Linked DNA regions of Canis lupus familiaris. The protein of the gene in region 1 interacts with the protein of each later gene in a biochemical or structural test. Links are inferred from orthologs where the notes say so. Each region holds a gene or a part of one and is shown in the gene's direction. Other genes may lie near its edges.

What was found.
Region 2: the proteins of FBXW7 (region 1) and KLF5 form a complex in vitro, tested with the Homo sapiens proteins (2 studies listed by BioGRID, with this or other methods). The link is inferred for Canis lupus familiaris from reciprocal best matches to the Homo sapiens genes FBXW7 and KLF5.

The regions. Positions count from the first base shown.
Region 1 is NC_049236.1:50,546,700-50,550,199, reverse strand, and holds part of FBXW7 (F-box/WD repeat-containing protein 7), read left to right. Parts: intron 1-161; coding exon 162-343; intron 344-2,312; coding exon 2,313-2,538; intron 2,539-3,500. UniProt on the Homo sapiens protein: Substrate recognition component of a SCF (SKP1-CUL1-F-box protein) E3 ubiquitin-protein ligase complex which mediates the ubiquitination and subsequent proteasomal degradation of target proteins.
Region 2 is NC_049243.1:27,271,277-27,275,403, forward strand, and holds the start of KLF5 (Krueppel-like factor 5), read left to right. Parts: upstream 1-1,327; coding exon 1,328-1,588; intron 1,589-3,173; exon of another isoform or gene 3,174-3,312; intron 3,313-4,120; coding exon 4,121-4,127. UniProt on the Homo sapiens protein: Transcription factor that binds to GC box promoter elements. Activates the transcription of these genes.

The DNA.
Region 1 (3,500 bases):
GGTGATGGTATCATGACATATTGGTATAAAAAGTTATTTTCTGATTTGCGAAACAATCCAATTTTATAAATAACTTTACCTCAGATTTTAATAAGCTACTGAAATGTCATGTAAATTGTTTTTCTTTCTACCAAAAGTAATCATCTTAAGTGTTTTTCCAGTGTCTGAGAACATTAGTGGGACACACAGGTGGAGTATGGTCATCACAGATGAGAGACAATATCATCATTAGTGGATCTACAGATCGGACTCTAAAAGTGTGGAATGCAGAGACTGGGGAATGTATACATACCTTATATGGGCATACTTCCACTGTCCGCTGTATGCATCTCCATGAAAAAAGGTAAGGGAAAATCCTGTAATGGTTGGGAATTCTTCCTCTGTTATTTGTGATTTGAGGGCTTTTGTGTAGAGTTCAGTTGTATAATTCTGTTTATTAGAGAGATAGTGGTAATGTGCTCTTAAATTAGGCTTTAATTATTAGACTTCAGATATTTCTATACTAGCAAAGCAGTACTATATTGGCTTAAAATTGGAGGATTGTCTTTAAATTTCCTTCTTCATTTAATGGTTTTGTTGGCTTCCTCCTTGAAATTCTATTCTCTAATCTTGGGTGGCACTTTATTATTCTGCATCTGATGACTCATCATCTTCAAAAAAACCTTTCTCTCTCTCTTGCTTTGCATTTACATCTCTACTAGTGGGACAAATTCAGTTACTTAGGCTTCAAACTTCTGGGCCTTTTTAATTACCCACATGCCCTACCCCCACTCCATCATATCCCCTTCTGTCTAGACAAAAGCTGAGGCCCATGGATTTCTGTTTAGTGTCTCATTACCGGTCCCCTGAACTAGTTACATAGCTTTCACACTTGGTTTTCTCACCTTTTACACAGCTGACAGAGAATCCTTTTCTAATTATGATAGTATCATTGCCCTTTTGAGAGCCTTCTGTTGTCTATCGAATCAAGGAAGAAATGCTCAATCCAGTTTTCAAAATAGTTCCAGCCAAACCAGACTGCTTGCCTTTTTGTCCTCTCGGTGCCTTTGCCGTTGCTTTGATCTCCTCCTACAAAGCCCTCCTGTTAAAGTCCTTTCGATCTTCTATCTGCATGTCTTCACAGTACCCTGGTAAACAGATGTGATTTTGACTTCATTTGTCAAAAAAGGCCTCTCTGGCAGACCTTACCATGAATCCATCCACTCCTTACCGTTAATTCTGTCCACAACATTGTCTTTGTGAAAACCATTACCTTAAGCAGATTTCATGCTCGATTTGTAATATGTGAAGAAAGCTACCTTTTCATTTGTAATTTGAATCTACTTTGAACAGTGTGTGCTATTAAAATTTGGGGTATTGATATTAAGAGACCCTGTATTTCAGTTTTCATTATATTCTGACTTAAATCTCTCAATGCTCTCCTCTACTCTTCCAAATGTGGCAACTGTGGCCTATCTTTATCTCTTAAGAATGACATGAAGATACCTGAATTTTCAGCTCTGCTTCGTAATCCAGAGGTGATTGCAATATTTGTATCACTCTGGTCTTCAGAAGAGCATAGCTTTATTAATGTTGGGCCAGATTTTTAAGGGATTTCTATTGCCTCCCCGGGTGTATCTTCTAAAATCTGTGTATCTTAATACCTCCATAGCCTGTTGACTATAACTATAAACATAAGCAGCCTTTGTTAGAGGATATGCTACAACAGGTTAATTTTACCAGAATTATAATGGTGTAACACACCCATCTCTAACTGTTTAAATTCCAAATTCAGATTTGCTTTGTTGAATAACATTTAACAAATTTTTCCCTAGTCACAAAGAAAATATATGTTCATAATTAAAATTTTGGGAAATGGCAGAAAGAATAAAAAAGAAATATAAAATTTTTCAAAATACTACCACCGGAGTTCTGCCATTAACATTTTATACATGTTGCTCACGTTAGCATTTTATTTCTAAAATCAAGATCTTGTATTTATTGGAGCCGGCGGCAGCTGCTGCTGCTTCTGCTTCAAATACAATACAGCGGTTTTCAAACCGTCCCCCAGAACCCCAGACACTATGCAGCCGCTTATAAATGCGGGACACTAAGCAGGTGGAATTCTGGGCTTCCCAGCTTCCCATCCCAACCAAAGTAGCTTGACTTCTGTATGTTTGTGTATCAAGGTTTTACATAAGATTTCTTTGAAAACAGGTATTCCTGCTTAAGTAAGAAAGGAAAAAGTTCAGTAACCACTGACTTTATATATCATATTTTCTCATGTTATTAAACATTCTAATACTTCTTTTTTTCTGTCTTCCCCACTACAGAGTTGTTAGCGGTTCTCGAGATGCCACTCTTAGGGTTTGGGATATTGAGACAGGCCAGTGTTTACATGTTTTGATGGGTCATGTAGCAGCAGTCCGCTGTGTTCAGTATGATGGCAGGAGGGTTGTTAGTGGAGCATATGATTTTATGGTGAAGGTGTGGGATCCGGAGACCGAGACCTGTCTACACACGTTGCAGGGGCATACTAATAGAGTCTATTCATTACAGGTAAGGGATCCTATCTCTTGTATCCCTTAGACGCTTCACTGATGAATCATGAGATTGTTTTGACTAAAACGATAATCGCTGTCAAATTGCTGATTTAATACAATCCAAAAAAAGACAAATCAGATTATCCTGTTGTTTACATATACTTTAAAATTGGCATGAAGGAAGTGTAAATTTTGAACTTATTTAAATAACTTGTTTCAGCTTTTCTGTGATCTTTTTCCTCTAAAATATAAATATTTGTCTTAGAACCTGAAACTTTGTAGCCCTGCATTTCCCTCTATTAATTAATGGGTAGATAGTCTCAAAGGAAAATAACCTGGATTTTAATAAACTCCTTAGCAGAGGATTAATTTGGCCAAAAGCTGTCCCTTTGCCTTGATAGCTGAAAGTTGATGGACCATGTAATTGCGATCCCATTCCCACTCAAAGTGGAAGTGGAGCCTTTCTGCATCAGGCTCCTCTACCATCAAAGAGCTACTGATTTGTAGTCATAAGGAAGTAAATTTGACTAAACTGATTTTTTTTATTTACATTTGAACATGATATTCTTGAGTGGGTTGTCATATTTGAAATAGCTAAATTAATAGCAAATTTAGAAAATGGGTGTTTCATTTTCTGAAAGATAGCATTTTCAACTTGAAAATTTTTCTATTACTTATATAGTTTATTTGCCAGTTACTGCCCATTACCAATCAGCAGATTAGTATATAGTCCCAGTACTGACAGTTCTCTATTCTTGGAATATTTGTTTCTTAATTCATGGAATACGGCCTATGTCACAAAGTATTGATAGGTAATAAATATACGTGTTAACTTAGAAAAGGTTATACATTTGGAGGAGAGGGAATTTGGCTGAAGTTGTTTTTATATTTTGTGATATGTTCAGAACCTTAATGCATATAATATTCTCATTTAAGTAAACAATTAGATTGAGAAAAGAGGTAGCAATATTATTATAG
Region 2 (4,127 bases), on another chromosome or scaffold:
AAATGTGCCACGTTTCTGTTTTGTAAATATTGAGCTCCATTTTTTTTTTTTTTTTGAACATACAGTGCTAGCAAAAACAAGTCAAAGATGTAATCTCTATTTAAATACATTGGAACTAGTCGTTAGGGCTTAAATTAGATTCCAGGCTTCGGCTAGAATCAAAAGTTGTAAATATCAAAAACTTCAAAATTCATATCCCCATATTCCCATCCTCCTCCTCCCCATACAGATACGAGGTAGAAATTGGGTGTGAAACCTTCTTTCCAGCCATTTACATAGTGTAGGGGAAAACAAGCTCCTATGCCAGGACTTAAAAAAAAAAAAAAAATCTATTGGCCATTAAACCTTTTATTCAGGACCTTCCAGATGGACACGTTCACTGCTGAAGACACACAGACACAAGAGCTGTTTTTAAATTTGCTTATCACACCGCCCCTAGTTCTCCGCTAAAGAAAAGTACATTTTGTATATTTAAAAATACACGCTCCTGAGAGAAGCCCCTCGAACCCTCGGCGCCCCCACCTCGCTGCCTGCCGGGCTTCTCGGCTTTGGAGTCTCAGGTCCCTTGCACAACACCTAAGACGTGCAAACCTCTTGTTTTTTCTCCCTAGCCCTGGCGGAGAACAGTTGGAGAGATCTCCCTCCACGTCTCCACCCCGATTCCCTCTCTTCCTAGATTCCACCCGCGCCTCTCCTTTCCTCCGCCCCCGGCTCCGGCAGCCCAATCTGTCAGAGAAGTTGTGTACAAACTGCGCGGCCGCCCTGCGCGCGAAAGCTCGTGGCCCGAGGGGGCGGGTCAGCGCGGCGGGGGCGGGGCCCGCGTGAGCCTCTCCCTCCTCATAGGCTGCGCCCTCCGGCCCGGCCGGCCTCGGGGCACCGGGATTCGCTGCGGCGCTGCCAGTCAGGCCGGCGGGCCCCGCCCACCCGGAGTTGGGTAAAATAGAGGCGGGCGTCAAGTGTCAGTAGTCGCGGGGCAGGTACGCGCGCTCGCAGCTCGCTCGCGGAGACCGGCGGTGGCGGGAGCGGGCTCCGGCGAGTGAGAGAGCGCGGCGCGGCGCGGCGGGGCGGGGCGGGGCGGGAGAAAGTGGCCGCCGCGGAGACGTTGGCGTTTGCGCGTGGCGGAGCGGAAGAGTTTTGCTTCTCGTGCGCGCCTTCGAAGACCGCGCCGGCTGTTGGCTGAGGGGGTCCGCCCGCCCGGAGCGTCCCCTTCTCCGCCCGCGGCCCCGCGCCGAGCTCGCCGGCCCGCGTCGGCGTGGGCGAGGTGGGAAGCGCGCCCGACCCGCGCCCGGAGCCGCCGGCCCCCGCCCCCCGCCCCCCGCGAGTGCCAATGGCCACGCGGGTGCTGACGATGAGCGCCCGCCTGGGACCCGTGCCCCAGCCGCCGGCCCCGCAGGACGAGCCCGTGTTCGCGCAGCTCAAGCCCGTGCTGGGCGCCGCGAACCCGGCCCGCGACGCGGCGCTCTTCCCGGGCGAGGAGCTGAAGCACCCGCACCACCACCCGCAGGCGCAGCCCGCGCCCCCGCAGCCGCCGCAGCCGGCGCCGCCGCCCGCCGCGGGCCCGCGGCTGCCCCCGGAGGAGCTGGTCCAGGTAGGAAGAGGCGCTCCCCTCCCTCCCTCCCTCCCTCCCTCCGTCGGTCCGTCCCTCCGCCCCCCTCCCGGAGCTCGGGCGTGTCCCGCCGCTGCGACGCGCGGGCGACAGGGGCCGCTCCAAGCTGGGGCGTGCGTCGGGGCGCTGGGGGGCGGGGGGCGGCCCCTCCCCTCCCCTCCCCTCCCCTCCCCTCCCCTCCCCTCCCCTCCCGGCCCTGCCGGCCTGGGCGCTCGCAGGCAGCAGCGAGAAAGTCGGGGGACCGGAAGGGGGGGGGCGTCCCGGCCGGAGCCGCCCCGATGGGCCCGTCCGGGGAGAGGTTCGAGCGGAGCGGGGGCTCACACGCACCTTGGCGTTGCCCCTCGTGCCTCACGTCCAGCGTCCGTCTAAATCCCGGCTCTCCCCTGATGCACCCCGACCCCCACCCCCACCCCCACCCCCACCCCCACCCCACGGAGGATCCCCCTCGTAGGCTCGGGTCAGGTGGAATCGCAGCCCGGGTGCCGGCGGGAGGCGCCTCGGGTGCTACTTTCGTATCTCGGGGCTCAGGCTGCTCTAGACGCGATCTCGGGGCTGCCTTGGGGAACCGAGAGCTGGGGGAGCTGCGGTGGTACCGGAGCGGCGTGTCTGTGTGTGTGTGTGTGTTTTTCCTTAAAAAGCCAAGACCCAGAAAAAGGACCGGGGGTGTTGTTTTCTTCATGTGCGCGTAAATTTCCTCCCGGAGCCGCGTTGAAAGCTGGCAGTTGGCTCTTTACACTTGCCCGGCAGCCGAATTAGAGCAGCCGCCTGTTTCTTTCGCCCACGCAGGGAGTCATATAGCCCTGGAAAAAAAAAAAAAAAAAAAAAAAAAAAAAACTTCCCGGGACTTTTAGCCTGTCCCAAGGAAAAAAAAAAATTGGAAACATACCCACATGCAAACAGCTGGAAGAGCTAAAAGCAGAAACCACTAACCACCACGGGAGCGAAGCGCACGGAAGGGTTTTAGTTGGGTTTATTTCGAGACGCTTCGTTTCACGGCCCCTTGGTGCGGCCCCTGCGCCGCCGCGGGGTCTGCGGGCCTCGTGGTGCCCGGAGAGGGCAGGGGCATTTGTCAGAGGTGTGACTCACAGGGCCCGAGCGTTAGTTTTTATTTTTAAATCGTGTCTATCTGGGAAGCCCTGTCTTAACATCCACAGCGAATGGTACGAGGTCTGATACGAAACGCTTTTGAAATGAAGTGATAGCAAAAAAAAAAAAAAAAGTGTATTATTCACCAGTTAGGATGCCACCACGATTAATAGGTGCATGAGCCATTTCATGGGGGTGGGGTGGGCTCTGCTTTGCTCTGAAAATTTACTTTTCGACGTTAAAAAAATAAATATTAAGTTTATGTTTATGTGCTAGTTTATGTACTGGCATAGAAGAGTTTGTAAAAAGAAAAAAAAAAAGACGGAGGGTGACTAGTTACAAGCTCTGGATCGTTGTGTTAAAAAAAAAAAAAATCCCCACTTGAGAACGATTTGGTTATTTCAGGTTGGTCACTTCTGGTTAAGAGACACCAAGAGGCTAAGGGATGATTGAGCTTTTTTTTTTTTTTTTTTTTTTACAGAGTAAGGGGGAATGTAGCATTGGGCCACTGAGAAGGACATGGTAAATGTTTTGCTGATGACTGTGCTAGGGATACAGCAGCCTCTCCCCACCCACGGACTCCTTAGCACCACTCTACCAAGGGAGTGATTTTCCCCTAGGTAATTAAAGATCTGTTTTAGATAGGGATATGAATAGGAACATTTCATTATCATATTAACCAATTACAGAATCTGCTGATTAAAATCAACATTTAGATCAAATGTTGAAAGTGAAGTTGTTCTGTTCTTTGAGTGGATACTGTTCTGCTCAAGAGGTTGTATTTTAAGTTTCCAGTGACCTGTACATGAGAAAAGGCACTGAAATAGCCAAGGAATATGTTATATTAGATACTTCAACAATATCTACCTGGGCAAACAAACAGAAAGAAACCCTAAAACAGAACTTCGCAATATTATTTTTAAGGTTGTTTTGCTTAGGTTTTGTTTGTTTAAACATACCTGTATTAACATAAATATGGCACGAGCAGAATTGAGGAGGTTCGGCAGTAGTAGTACGATACTGTATTTAAGTTGAAAACTCAACTGTAATGGGGTAGGGAATCCTGCTTTTGTATGTGAGTTATAAAAATACACTTTGTTATCGATTAGAAAGGAATTCTAATCCTTTCTTTCTGCTGCTGCTGCTTTTTTTTTTTTTTTTTTCTTGATTTGCCTGTTAAACTTTTTGTCCGGGGCTGATTGTGGGAGCGATTTTACCAAATACACGTTATAGAGAGTTTCATAAGGGTTTTGGTAAACCAGTTATTACACAATGGACAAATAAACCTGATACGTTTATAAGCGACGCTTGAAAGGAGCTTGCCCTAGTACTTCTCACAGGTATCGCTGGGGGAATTTTTAGTAAGTTTGTCTTTACTCAGCTGATGAATTGGGTGGATTATGCATGTTTGTATCTCTTCTTTTTTAGACAAGAT